Lytechinus pictus: one gene and its partner. The protein of the gene in region 1 purifies or fractionates together with the protein of each later gene. This does not show direct contact. Links are inferred from orthologs where the notes say so. Each region holds a gene or a part of one and is shown in the gene's direction. Other genes may lie near its edges.

Evidence for each region. Proteins that work in one complex are often made in the same cells at the same time.
Region 2: the proteins of intraflagellar transport protein 81 homolog (region 1) and intraflagellar transport protein 74 homolog purify together in Homo sapiens (affinity purification with mass spectrometry; 3 studies listed by BioGRID and IntAct, counting the BioPlex papers as one, with this or other methods). This does not show direct contact. The link is inferred for Lytechinus pictus from reciprocal best matches to the Homo sapiens genes IFT81 and IFT74.

What each region holds. Positions count from the first base shown.
Region 1 is NC_087260.1:11,012,575-11,020,157, reverse strand, and holds the start of intraflagellar transport protein 81 homolog, read left to right. Parts: upstream 1-4,564; 5' UTR 4,565-4,643; coding exon 4,644-4,787; intron 4,788-5,945; coding exon 5,946-6,040; intron 6,041-7,179; coding exon 7,180-7,360; intron 7,361-7,583. UniProt on the Homo sapiens protein: Component of the intraflagellar transport (IFT) complex B: together with IFT74, forms a tubulin-binding module that specifically mediates transport of tubulin within the cilium. Binds tubulin via its CH (calponin-homology)-like region.
Region 2 is NC_087255.1:29,464,305-29,471,887, reverse strand, and holds the start of intraflagellar transport protein 74 homolog, read left to right. Parts: upstream 1-4,575; 5' UTR 4,576-4,683; coding exon 4,684-4,685; intron 4,686-7,583. Other genes in the region: PHD finger protein 24-like, read right to left, coding at 646-724, 2,341-2,526, 3,099-3,243, 4,053-4,351. UniProt on the Homo sapiens protein: Component of the intraflagellar transport (IFT) complex B: together with IFT81, forms a tubulin-binding module that specifically mediates transport of tubulin within the cilium. Binds beta-tubulin via its basic region. Required for ciliogenesis.

The sequences.
Region 1 (7,583 bases):
TACCTTTTTGATCAGTTCAAAACGTATACAAAAATTATGCTCGCGCTTTGTGCGAGCATTATTAAAGTAACAAAGATCGGCAATTTGGACATCCTTTCCATGATGATTTAAAAGACATGACTAGACATGTCTCGTTTTTAGGTCTAAATCTTCCAATTTTGTGCTCGCGCTTCGCATCAATTGCCAAGTTATATATACCTATCCTGTTTAAGTTACAAAAAGTGCCTATGATTTCAATTCTGTTCGCACTTCGCGTTCTTAGTAATTATTTAGTTGCATACACATCTTTTTCATGATAAACATTGCCCAGAAATTTCAAACTTTGGGGAAAAACATAATTTTTTTTAATAAATTAGCTCGCATTATATAAAAAGGTTATGATATCATATATTTATGTTGATTATAAGACAAAAGCTAAGAAGTGACAATTTCTTCATAGAAACAAATATAAATCATATTCGCGCGGCCGATTGGGGAAAAATAATGGTGAAAAAAAATTTGCCCCCCCCCCCCCTTTGGCTGGATCCACCCCTTCATCCTATTTATTTCTCTCCTTCCGTCCATCTCTCCATTCTTCCAGGAGCCGCGGAATGGTTTTGAAAAATGTTTTTTTTTATATTTCTACCAATAAAATTATTAATGAAAATAATGCGGTACAAAAATCAATGTCGTTCTTCTTCCTGTTTTAAACTATATATACGTGTACAAAAAACGCACCACCAGCTAAAAATAAAAAAAAAAAACCTGGGGGTCACAACCCGAGCACCCCACTTCCCAGGGCCATATACAAGGATTCTAATTTATTAATTTTAAAGAAAGCATGAGACATCATTTGTTGAAAAAAAAATTAAAGAGACCTATTAATGACTGCATGTGGTCCTACCGGTACGCTAGATCTGCGCACAAAACTGCTTTCATATGACACGCAAAAGGGATGAATCTTAGTGGAAAAGTGGAATAAAGCAAACAGGATTTAGAAACTGCCTTCGTTGGCGTTCAATAATATGGGTGGTATGATACAAATTCTGCTAGCTTATTCGTACTATTATTTCTGGCCATTGTACTTAGATCAAAATTTTAATGTGGAAACATTTTTATTTTTTTTTTTAATGATACAAATCGAGCGAGGCAAGGACAATGATATGGGGCAGAGTTCCAAGTCTTCATGCCCCAGACTGAATATATTTTGACATCAACTTACTCTAAAAACAAGTGTTTATGTTTTATTTTGTATTATTCATTTTTTAAATATAAGGTAAAATTATAAGTCTCGGAGTGTCAGTTAATGCTGCAAAAGATGTATAAGGCCTACTCTTTTGCAGCACTATCCAGCTACCGCGGCGAGGACGCCCTCCGAGAAGGTAGCCATATCAAAACTAAAAACAAAAAATTCCCCTTAGATTACTGGTGGATCCAAGGGGCATAATTATCGAGAGCCAAAATTGTAATTTGTAATATAAGCATGCCCTTTTTACCCAAGCATGCCCCCTTGAAAGTGAGGATATATATATATATATGCCCTATTTTTTTGCTTGTCAATTTTTAGGGACGAAATGACTTTCAATTTTTGGTAAAAAAATATTTTGTAATGCTCATCAAATTCGCATCGGGAAAATGTGCCCTCCATAGGCCCTGTCCCCCCTAAATTTGAGGTGGGGACCATTGGCAGCGGAAATCAAAAATTTAGGGAGGGGGACCACCAAAATTTTGTGACAAGCCCCCTCCCCAAAAAAAGTTTATCAACCCAAATTTTAGGGGAGACCACATGAATTTTTTAGGGGGGTCCACTGGAATTTAGGGGGCACGCAGGAAAAAAAATTGAACGGCAAAAAAAAAGGTTATCAACAAAAAAATTAGGGGGGGGGGACGATCGTCCCCCCACCTCAAATTTAGGGGGGGGGGCACGACCCCCCCCCCCCGCTGCCTATGGGGGATGTTGTTAGCTTTTTTGGGGGCTAAATTTTTTTTTCGGCCCCCCCCCCCTTTGATAACCTTTTTTTGTCAAAAATTTTGGTGCCCCCCTAAATTTTTTGACTGCCGCCGCTAAAAGTGCCCCCCCCCCCTTTGGAAATCCTGGACCCTCCCTTAATTGCCTAGATATAGATGTTTAAATAATTAATTATTTTGAAAGTCAGAGTGCCCTCGCCCCCCCCCCCATGCTTTAGTTATCATGGCATAAAACTTATGTCATATCTAATCCTTATATCAGCAAGAGGTCAGAGCATACTATCCGTCACCAAACGACTGCATTTGAGCCATTAATTTTCCCTTTTCTCTTCTTTCTATTATTTTCTTGTTATTTAATCACTGTTTATTTGTATAAGCTCGGATCTGAGACTAACTGATACGGTGAACGCACTTTCGTTCGAGTTGTGTATTTGCGTAATAATAGACCGAGGCGAGAAAGGACACGCCCACAATCCCTCGTTCAGTGCCGAGCTCTGTGCGTACGTGTCGACCAAATTTCAAAGAGAAAATTTGTACACAAATCTGTCACAATTCGGACCTAATTTCGCCTCAGATTAACAGATATTTAGATCTCTTTGGAACACTAAAAGTCATTCACTTGGGGTTTTTGAATATGCTGATTCAGGTGAGGTACTTTTCAATGCTTTTAAACATAGATTTAAAAAATTAGATTTTCGTTTTGGGATCCCTATTATAGGTGAAGTACGCCATCTTTTGACAAGATGATGAAGAAAGTGGACTGAAGGAGCGAGAAAATAATGCTGATTTCGATGATAATTTTTTCAAAACATGCGGAATGATAATCATCTCATTGCAATGGGATATAATCCATGTCGCACGTCGACATGTTACCCATTTACTGTGTAGCACGAAATGCCAGGCTCCGCACAGGTCACGGCAGCAATTCGGAGGCCGCTGATTATTGGTTCATCGTGCAGATCACGTCACGTTATGATTAGCCAGGAGGCTCCTAGAGAGTAAAAATCATTCACTAACGACAATGTGTGCTTGCTCTCCACGGAGCCAGGGATTGCGTCCCATTCATATGCGTGTAGGCCTACTGTGAAAAAAAAACCTGAAATTTTCGCCCCCGAGATTTCTACTTTCCTTCTAAAAGATCTAGCCCTAAATCATGTAAATGGCATACAACTTCATTTCCGACATTTCTAAAAATTGTTTACTGATTTCATTTTTATTTTTTAAACAACAATTCATAAAAAAATGGTGAAAAATATTTTAAAAAGACGGGGGAAACTTGCCGCGATATTTACGTCGCCATGTTGTTTTCTTTGCTTTTCGCCAAGCTATAAGACGCATATCCTCGATATGGAGCTCGTCACCACTTTTGTGTTTTTAACAATGCAAATAACATAAAATTTTTGTACACATTGATTCTTTACTCAAACATCTCACATTAAATGTGGGATTCCAAGTTCTTTTCCGGGAAAAACAAAGGAACCAAAATTGGCGTACCCTGTCCAATGTGAAAATTAAATTGAAATTGAATATGGGAGAGAGTGTTGATATTAAGAGAGCATGCATGCGCAAGACACAAGGCAATGGTTTTTGTTAATAATATATATGCTGTTGAGATCGTGGAATCCCTGCCTTTCTCATTTTTCAAGCAGCCATAACGTACTTATTTTGTGCCTGAAATCTTTCAAGGGTTCACTGCCCTGTTTTTATTATTTTTCATTTTTCACACAAGTCACTGTGTAGTTCAGATTCCTCAATATATACATGTACACGCTTCATGTTTTGATCTCTGTTGTTGGGAGATTACTGTACAGTGCGTCCACAAAAACGAAACCGAGATCTAGCAATGATTTATCATAACTTTAATCATAAAAAAAATAGACAAATGACCTACCAATGTAAAGCTTAGAATCTCCTCTTTCATCTAAAATAACTTAGATTAATGAGTGAGCAAAAACAATTTGAAGGAAGGATACCAAAAACTCATTTTGCGGGGGTATCAGAATTTCAAAAAGAAAGTCATATGCCTAAATAGTTCAATATCTGCTCTTTTATTTGATACCTTAATCACAGGAAATGGTCAAAAAGTAAAAAAGTTCTGTTCCCTCGAAACAATGCTTGTATTTCCATAATTTCATTAAATAAACATGTTTTCACCGGTTTCCCACAGAAGCTATCGCATGGTTAACAAAAGACTGATGCATGGCTGATTGTCAACAAAACAGAGTGTCGAGTGAGTCTGAACGCTAGCCTGTAAAACCTTTTCATTTTATGAAATTATTGAAATTCAAGTCTTATTTCAAATAACCAGAACTTTGTTATTTCTTGACCATTTTCTGTAAATTGAGGTATCAAATGAAAGAGCAGATATTGAAATTTTAAACAATGTGGTTTTCTTTTTGAAACCCAGATACAGCCCGCCAAGTGACTTTTTGGTATCCCCTCTTCGAATTGTTTTTGCTCACTCATGCATGAATGAGAAAGTTTACATAAGTTTTACAATGGTAGGTCATTTGTCTATTGTACTTGTGATTAAGTTATGATAAATCATTGATAAATCTTGGTTTCGTTTTTTGCGGGACGCACTGTATGTGGAATAATACTTGCACCTTTTTCTGTTTCTTCCCCATTAGGAAAGCATGTGAAGATTCTCTTCTGGCCATTCTCCCGGAACGACAATAACCTTCAAGAGATTCAAGATGAGCACCCAGCTCAAGTATGTGGTTGAGCAGCTCAACAAAGATCCCTTTCGGAGGAACTATAACCTGATCAGTTTTGATGCCTTAGAGCCACTTCAGCTGTTGCAGGTGCTCAATGATGTCTTGTCTGAAATCAACCCTCAGGTAAGATTTCACTGGACTTTTGAGTGCCAGTTCTGTTTGCGACTTTTACAAGTTTACTCGGCTGCAATTCTGCAGTTGAGTAACTAATGCCCGTCTCACACTATGCGATCCGGTGTGACACGATTTTTCAAGAAATCGCATTTTGCATTAAATATGAAAGTTCCAAGAAGTAAAATTATTGTATTTAAAGTTTGGCATATTGTTACGAAAACTAAAATCATATATTTACTTTGCGGCAAGCCCTCTGGTCGGAGTAAAGTCTAAATCGGCTTCAAGTCGCAGCCGATGATGACGTCATTACGATTTGGAATTGAATTTGTTTTTATTCATTCAGGGAGGCTCTAACTGGACTGAATTTTGATTTCAGTTGTCCTACCACTATTCTGAACTCTGATCTGTATTATTTTATTAGTTGGAATTATCCATATCAAATGTTATCACAATTAATTTGAAATTGGGATTGCAACAAATTGCATAGTGTGAGACGGGCATAAGAGTCGCAAGTAGAAAAAACAACATGGTTGCGCCCATGCACGGGGATTATAAGGTTATAGGCCGATAAATTCAAGTAAGAAAATTGGGAAATCTTGCTCAGTATGATTATTTTCCCAGCTCTACTAAAGGTTGGATAGTATTGTGTGAACGTGTCATATTTCTTCATTTTCTTTTCCATAATCATTGTTAACAATCATGTCTTTTGCAAGAACAGCCTGTTACACAGGCCACCATATTGTGCCTGATTTTTCACTGCAAAACACAATCTTACAATCTTGAATGTGGAAGTTGGTTCACAGTTAATTCGCGCGGAGGTCGCTTGCACCCATTGTGGCAAAGAAAGGTGTGCTAATTGTGACCTCAAATCTATGGCAGACATTCTAGAATTTGAATTTGTGATTTGAATGTGAATCTCAATTTGAATTTGAAATGGAAATTGACAAAATATTACTTTTGATATGAATGAATCCCTTTCCATATCCAGCACAAGTTTGATATCAAGGGGAAATACTGCATTACAGAGACAGCAATATAAGCTGAATTTGAATTTTGAAATCAAATAAAAAAATTATTTGATTTGAAATTTGGAATTGGAGTGGACATTCAAAGTGGATTTAACATCGAAATTTATATTGGTATTGAATTGCCCTTTACCCTCTCCAGCACAAGCTTGACATCAGAGAGGAAACACCAGATGCCACAGCAATGAGAATGCTGGCTGAACTCAAAGTCCTCAAATACAAGCCTTCGGTGGAGCCGTAAGTATCAATTTCACCCTTTCCTCAGTGGTATTGTGTAATTCCATTAGAAACCATATACAGTGGTTAAAATGCTGTTATGTCCATGCTGTGCATGTTGGTGCTTTAACTAGGGGTACTCCAGGGCCCCGTCTTCAAAGAGTTGCGATTGATCAGATCAATCGCAACTATGGACGGCCAGCAACGTCAATATCTATTATGCATGTTTGTTCAAAATATTTTCTAGCATAGATGATGTATATTCATGCATTCATTGTTTTCTAGAAAATTCACTGCACTTCTCTTTGCATACAAAGGTCATTGTGCATATTTTTCGTAGAAAAAAATTATGACACTGATGGATTTGTGAGACGGGGCCCAGGTTGAAAATGGTAAGAACTATGATTTGAACAGGTGAAGTAAAATCAGACAAACAACACTGTAAATTTCATCAAAATTGGATGTGGAAAAACAAAGTTGATAACATTTTAAAATTTTGCATTAATTTGGTGAACTATGCCCAGGGAATAATTTTCCTGGTATTGCATCGCAATTTGCTCCACATTTTTGAAAGACTGCTAGATGCATAAAGTCTTTTGTATAGCATATTTTTACATAGGACTGAAAATTACTTTAGTTGAGAGCTTTTGTCTTATGAGCAAAAATTCTATTCAAATTTGTAAAGCAAAATCATTCCCTGATGCCTGTCTTCATGAATATGCAATGAACAAGCTGATGATTTATTGTATTTTATTATTCAAATTTTGTCATCCAAGAATGATCGTCTGCTGATTTAATAAGATAACCATTGCTGCAACTTATTTCGTCACAAGGGAGATATATCACACACACACTTGTATGAGAATATGAAAATACTTATGATTTCATGTAATAACAAAGGAACAAGAGTACATTACATCATCAGCCCACCTATTGCATATTCATAACAGCGTGCATATAACTGTTTTCACAAAATGTTTCTAAACTTTAAAATTTATATTTGTCTTCGGATTTTGTTAAAATCATAAGATTTACTCTATAGATATCATGAACACGGTCAGAATGGACACCAATAGCCACACAACCATTTGTAAAACCCCCCTTAACAATCCATATGATCAATTTGACTAATTTCCCATTTTATTTTATTTTTTTATTAGGGCTACCTTTCGGCAGGGCCTTGTAGCTGGCAACAAGCCTGTGGTCTATTCCATCTTAGAATGGTTATTCCAGAAGATGCCCGAGCTGAAGAAGAGGGCGTATCTAGCCAGGTTTCTTGTAAAGATTGAAGTACCTGGGGAAATTCTGCAGGAGGAGGCTGTTATGGATACATACGCACAGGTGAGGAATGTCACATTTTTTTTAGTCTTTCTGTTTTTGTCTCACCTGCATAGCAGAGTGAGACTATAGGCGCCGCTTTTCCGACGGCGACGGCGGCGGCGGCGTCAACACCAAATCTTAACCTGAGGTTAAGTTTTTGAAATGACAGCATAACTTAGAAAGTATATGGACCTAGTTCATGAAACTTGGCCATAAGGTTAATCAAGAATTACTGAACATCCTG
Region 2 (7,583 bases), on another chromosome or scaffold:
CAGAATAAGCTTTACCAACTTTCCTTGTTTATATAGAAATATAAATCACATTGCCACTGTAAATTACCTCTACATTGACAATTCATTTCCCAGTGTTTTTGTTAAAGGTATTTAAGCGTATGGGTCTTTTGTGAAGGAGAACGGGGCGGATCCAAGGTGGAAGGAGGCACTATTCCCCAACAAATTTAGGGCCACCATTTTTATTTTTATTATTTTTTTTTTTTTTGGGGGGGGGGCAAGCACAGTAACAAGAAAACAGTATGGCCTGGAGGTGAGTCTGGGCTCGCTCGCCTCAGTGGATCTGTGACTGAAGGAGTCTTGAAGTGTCGTTACCCTACTGAAAAGAACAGTGTCCCACGTGTGTGCCATAGTGTGTTCACAGAGGGGAACACAATGTGAAATCACCTTCATACTGTTAAATCTAAACATTTCAACAGCGTGAATCACGTAGTCGACCATGTGAGCACGATGTGAACAGTCACGCTGTCGAGGTGTCCACAGTGTGAAAAGAAATTCTGGCACTTTAACAATGCAAATAATATTTTCACAAGTCCACTATGTAAACACACTGTATGACACTGTGTTCTTTCCAACAAGATAAGCTCCTCAGAGAGGATTATTCCTAAAATACCTACAGTAACTTACCTTCATCTCTGTCATATCTGTCAAACTTTTCCATTAGTCCATCCATCTCAACCAGTGTAATAAGGTTTCCAATGGACTCCTTTGATATAAAAAAAAATGTAAATATTTAGTCATGGCTCGACTGAGGTGAATTCATCATTATCATCACTTAATCAAGGAATGTATGCAAAATTGTTATGATTTTTTAACCTAAATTTGAGGTTGGCCTATATTTCGTTTTCAGGTAATTAATGGAGAAAATTCAAAACTAAAGATTGATACACTTGTTATAATTCTTTCAAATAAAGTTTCTGTGTAATGATGAAAGTGGATGAGTAATGATATGAACATAAGACAAGTGGAACGCCTCTGGCAGTCTCGCCTGCATTACGCAATTTAATATAGCAGCAGTGCTAACTTTGAAAACTACTATAAAATAATCATTCACAAAAACACCATTCATATGGTCAAATACACCCATGTCCACATTTCATTCACTCTATCCATAAACTTTCAAAGTTATGATGGCAATTCAACAATTACCCCAACATGGCCTAAGTTTATTGACCTTAACTGACCTTTGACCTTGGTTTTGTGACCTGATACTCACAGGGGATGTTTAGTGATACTTAATTACTCTTATATCCCAAGTTTTATGAAATAGATCCATAAACTTCAGAGTTAGGATGGTAATTCAACAAATACCCCCAACACGGCCAATGTTCATTGACCTTAAATGACCTTTGACCATGGTCATGTGACCTGAAACTCGTACAAGATGTTCAGTGATACTCGATTACTCTTATGTCCAAGTTTTATGAACTAGATCCATAAACCTTCAGAGTTAGGATGGTAATTTAACAAAGACTCCCAACACGGCTAAAGTTCATTGACCTTAAATGACCATTGACCATGGTCATGTGACCTGAAACTTGCACAGGATATTCAGTGGTACTTGATTAACCTAATGTCCAAGTTTCATGAACTAGATCCATAAATTTTCAAAGTTATGAAGGTAATTCAACAAATACCCCCAACTTGGCCAAAGTTCATTGACCCTAAATGACCTTTGACCTTGGCCATGTGACCTGAAACTCAGGCAGGATGTTCACTAATACTTGATTAACCTTATGTCCAAGTTTCATGAACTAGATCCATAAATTTTCAAAGTTATGATAGTAATTCAACAAATACCCCCAACTTGACCAAAGTTTATTGACCCTAAATGACCTTTGACCTTGGTCATGTGACCTGAAACTCAAGCAGGATGTTCAGTAATACTTGATTAAACTTATGTCCAAGTTTCATGAACTAGGTCCATATACTTTCTAAGTTATGATGTCATTTCAAAAACTTAACCTTAGGTTAAGATTTTGAAAATAATTCTCCCAACATGGTCTAAGTTCATTGACCCTAAATGACCTTTGACCTTAGTCATGTGACCTGAAACTCAAGCAGGATGTTTAGTAATACTTGATTAACCTTATGTCCAAGTTTCATGAACTAGGTCCATATACTTTTTAAGTTATGATGTCATTTCAAAAACTTAACCTTAGGTTAAGATTTGATGTTGACGCCGCCGCCGCCGTCGCCGCCGCCGTCGCCGTCGGAAAAGCGGCGCCTATAGTCTCGCTCTGCTATGCAGGCGAGACAAAAATGAGTTGAAAACAATGATTAAAAAACACTATACACAAGAATTCATTGAAGAACACTTACACATTCTGAGCAGCTCCATCCGACCTCTTCTTCCGAGTTCTTCAAGGCCGTGGCAAAATTGACATCACAGCAGTAGCCACCAGATTCAAGGCATTTCTGATGCGAACACCTCCCACAGATCCTGCACTCATGGATGACGTCATTCTTCACCATGTTGCATAGCGCACAGTTCACATCAATGTCAGACTACATGTATGGGTCAAATGGGGCAGTTATACATACAACGTACAATGCAACAGAACATGATGATTTTTTTTAATGATATGGGAGCCCCCAAGCTTGTAGGTAGGACTCCCTAAAAGTAACAGACTTGACAAAGACAGTAAAGTATCAGTAATATGAAAGTTATGTAACATAAAGATATCAACTAAAAAAAAACACTGGTCAGCACTGACAGTGGTGACAGGCTGCACCTCAGAATAGGGGAAGGCAGATAGTACCATAATTACTTAGATCTCAGTCTAACAAAAGATTTAACCATGGATGGGAAAATTTGTTTAAAACAAAGGCAATCAACTCATGATAGGATAGAAATCTTCATTCTACACAGTTCTAAAACTCAGTTAGTATATGTACTTAAACAAATACTCATTGCCTTTAATGTTTTGGGGAAAAGATAGTTCTGAAGAATGCATTATTATCCCCCCCCCAAAAAAAAAAAAAAGCAAACATATGCCTAGAAGATAAATGTACATGCAGACCTATATCAATTTATTGGAGTGTAAATTATGACATAAAATGTAGATGTATAGTCTTACTTCAAGCATGGATTCGTATTCTAGGTTGGCTGGTGCCGTGCCAAATTTAGCTTCTTCAAGGGCAAGTTTCTGACGTTCTGCCTGTCTCTCTGAACGCTGTCCGTTGTATGATATCTGTGTTGTTTCTTTCGGCTCATCAGAATGCCTACGGAGTACGGTGCGTATAAAGAAAATCTCTTGCTGAAACAAGTACAAGTAACTTGAACTTTGTTACAGAAATGAAACTTAAAAGAGTGAAAAATAAGGCTTACATGTACTATTGTAGATATCTAAATTATTTAGATAAATACATGTAGGCTAGATCTATCTAGACCCTACTCCATAAAATATGCCTGGAATGGAAATGCATGATGTAGCAATCGCTCATCCCCATACTAGCCTAGCCCTAGGCTATATTGTGGGCTAGTGGCTAAAAATAGGCATTTTAAAGTTATTTTTATGCTGACCTAACGACTGTTTGACTTTGAGCCTTTGTCTGACCTCTGTGAGGAGCCTTGGAAATGGAAACATGTCACATGATAATTAATTGATCAACTTGAGTTCTACTCAACTTGGAAGTTGAGTGCCAGAAAATTTGAAGATGTCGCAAAATTTAACTAGGCCTACATTGATCACTCAAAATAAACTTTTTATAAAGAAAGAAAATTTGAGGCCAACTCACCTATTTACTTTTTGGACACATGTCTAGTCTACAGCACAAGTGCCATTTACATATTGCCTACCCTATCCTAACCTAGCCCTGCCAAGGTTAGGCCTAACGTTAGGGCTCCGGGGACCTCGACAATGTGTTCGGGCTTGAGTCTACATTAGGCTAGGGCTAGGCCTAGCCCTAGCAGGCTGGTTTGATTTAGTCGATCTAGACTAGGTCCTAGTCCTACTCTAATTCCCATCGACACGGATCAAGCAAAAATAATGTAGATCTAGACTATTCAGTAGGCCTAAGTGAATATCTACCTGTTCATTTTTTGAAAAGGTCTCATCCATGATGGAATTGTGCCTGTGGGCAGTGTGGCGTTTCCTTTTGCCGTGTCACTCTGTCTCTGGCTTTCAGTTGCAGTCGTGCTGCTTGTTGTAGTCCCGTCTTGCTGCCTACTTTGTCCCGTGTCAAAAGGCGTTGCTCCAGCAGCTTTGATTGGTGCAGCTCCCTTTTTGCCAGCAGATAAGAAAACATTTGCTATCAAACCAATCCTGCCTGCCTGCTGTGCTCTCTTTTGTATCCTTTCTTTCCTATACTTCATAACTGCGTTTCCCATCTTGATCTTTTGGTAAGACTAAGAATCGACAGGATTTAGGCTAGATAAAAAAGTTAACAATCCAAAGCCAAAACTTGACAAGTTGTTCCTCCACTCGAGATCGCAATAGGCTAGAGGCTGCGAACTTTTGACCAATCAAAATCCATATTCAGATATTGCCAAATCGCGACTCGGCTTGATTGCAACATGACGCGACGTAGAGGGCCGCCGGCATTGTCAATATTCCCATCATGCAGTGCGCACATAGTTTTGTACCCAAAATCGCATAGCGACCACCGACGCCAAGCGATTAAAAAAACACATTTTGGAAGTCATAAGTTGTTGTCACATCTATGTGAGTATAGCTACTTTTGAATTTTATTAGATATTGTCATGGGAATGAATGTTTCGTTTCATGATCCATTTAAGGAAAATACTTTTTTTGGAAAAAATGGAGCAAGGATCGACAAAAAAGTCTAGCACAGTCCCATACGTTAGAGTTTATGTTGGCTTCGTCGAACTCGTTGATTTTGCATTGAAATTTTTTTCACAGAATTCAGAAAATCATCTATTTGTGATTAAAAAAAGGAAATATGATTACGCAAAATACCTCCCAATTTCATTTCATATACTATCATGTGTTCCGGTAGGAAATAGTTCTTATTTTTAGGGGCTTTTTTATTTTTTGTCCATATTTAATTTTAATATTGGCTTGCCTCACTCTAGACCAAAAGCTTCGGTCTCTGTTATGTTGGTTGTTCAGCTGAACTCCGTTGGCTTCACTCACCAAATACAGAGACCGAAGTTCTAGCGCGATCTGTACAGGGGACTCAATGGCCATATGTTTATGTGTATTAAGTTCGGATAAAACAGGGCAGTGAAGTTGCGCGACAGCCGAGGTAAGTCACTGTTTTTGTTCCTTTTAACTTGATTTCCCCCGTTTTCTGGCAATTAATGCCAAGAGGGAATATTAATTTGCATTTCGGTCGCGTTAATTTTCAAAAGTTTGATTCATTAAAGACAAAAATTGAAGAGCCCCGACGGGGGGATTTTGCATTGTAAGTCCCCAAATGGTGGCTGCACGATAGCGAGCCGTCTGTGTATGAGGAGAAATTTAAAAAATAAATGTTTAAAAACTCCTCGAAACAGACGGCTACCAGCTGTCTAGCCTCACTCCCACTCCTAGTACCAATGAGGTCCAACATTACATGTATGGACCTCATAGGCGACATCAGTAGTATTTTTGGTTAGAAATCTCTGAGAACAGGATATTTCTATATTATATCACAAGTACAAGCTATATTCCTTTCTCTTATTTAAATTATAATTTTATAGTGTAAATGCATCGTTGGCAACAACAAAAAAATGAAAGAAATGAAGGGGAACTTACATTTTCACGGCTTTTTCCAGATTTTCTGGGCAGTTGCTCTTCACTTCTGACTCGCGATCGAAGCTGATATGAAGATCACGTGATTCGCGTTCTCGTCAGCTGATCGGTTGATTATTCTTTTCGTCAGACGTTAATAATATATATTTTATAATGCTAGCATTCATCGCTAATTTAGGTGAAAGAGATTGAAGTTAAACAGCGCCAGGTCGGAATCATAATTATTTTGGAAGAGTGTATTTATACACTCGATCTCATACCTGACGTAGACGGCGCTATTCAACAAATGCACAATCTTCAATATAAAAAATAAAACAGAAAGAACGCCTTGAACACAGGCCAAAATGCCTAACGATTTCTCCGCGGCATTAACAACTATCGTAAAGGGCGCTCCATTTATTAATAAAGATGGACGTATAGCTGTCTATGGCGACAAAATTTGCCGCAAATATTTACGAAGAATTGTGAGAAATGGTCTGAAAATGCAACAAAAGAACCGGTGAGTACCGATTAAACATTATCAATTTATTTAATAGAACATATTTTATGACTAGAGTTTAACAATTTCTAGATAATATTGCTTAGTTCTAAGCTAGGGCGGCCCAAATGCGCGTGAGTGGAGTCCCAGTTTATTAACGCGGGTAAGTATTGGGGTGTCGCCTAGAGTGATTAATATTAAGCAGGGCGCGACAAACCCGCTTGCCCGGGGCAAGTGAAATTGACGTGCGGGCAAGCATTTTTTCAAAGTCAATTGCGCGATCGGGCAAGTGGTTGTTTTGATAATGAAAAGGATAAATTGACAGTAAAAGTTTAATAATTGTTTGATAGATTGCAATCATCGGCCAATTATCTCTCATACCAGTAAAAAAACAGTGGAAACATGTCAAATCAGCGCCAATTTACCGACAATTTATCGCCAGCGCCCAGCGGTCCCGTTCGATGGGGGCTGCCATCTTACTTTCTAAACTACACTGTGCGCATGCGCTACTAATTGAAAACCCCTCTCTCGCCCTCTGAGCGCTACAGTACATGTACGGACGTACACGAGCGATCGCGAGCCAGTCGACTCGAGAGCTAGATCGCGCTGAATGCATGCAAGCTTCGGACTGACTCGGCCAGGATCAGGGTGACCAGACGTCCCGTATTTTATGTGACTTTCACACATTTATTCATCTTCCCTTCTTTTCTTTTTTTTTCTTTCTATATTCAATTCAAAGAATGACGGAAACCTTTTTATCTATTTTTATTCTCTCTCTCATCCTTCTTTTATTAGAACTTTCTTATATTTTTTATTATTTCCTTCATTTTCCCCTTCATTTTTTCTTTCTTTCTTCTCAATTCATCTCTTTTCTTTCTCTCCTTCATTCTTTCGTTCACCCTCCCTTCCAATTCTGTATAATTTTTTACAAGTCTAACACTGTGTAGTCTTCTTTCTTGATCTTTTTTTTTGTCGATTGTCCTGTATTTCATTTTGTGAAATCTGGTCACCCTGGCCAGGACTCGGCTTCAACTTCAAATCAAATAAACAATGAGTCGTCAGACTAAAATAGGCGACTTTTGTTGTCGTGATCGGCGACCAGAACAACTTGAACAAGAGTCAAGAAAAAGAAATGCCAAGGGCAAGGGCAGCGCCAGTATATCAAGTTCAGCCAGGACAGAAAAGAATATGATTAAGAGCAAAATAATTTTTGGAAAAAATTGGGCAAGCAGTTTTTTCTATCGGGCAAGCAAATTTTTTCATCACTTGCCCGACAGGGCAAGTGATAATTTTTTTATTTGTAGAGGCCTGTATTAAGATAATTAAGAGACGGACCAAGACAAAGATGGATTTCCCTAGAAAATCCATCTTTTAAGACCAAAATCATG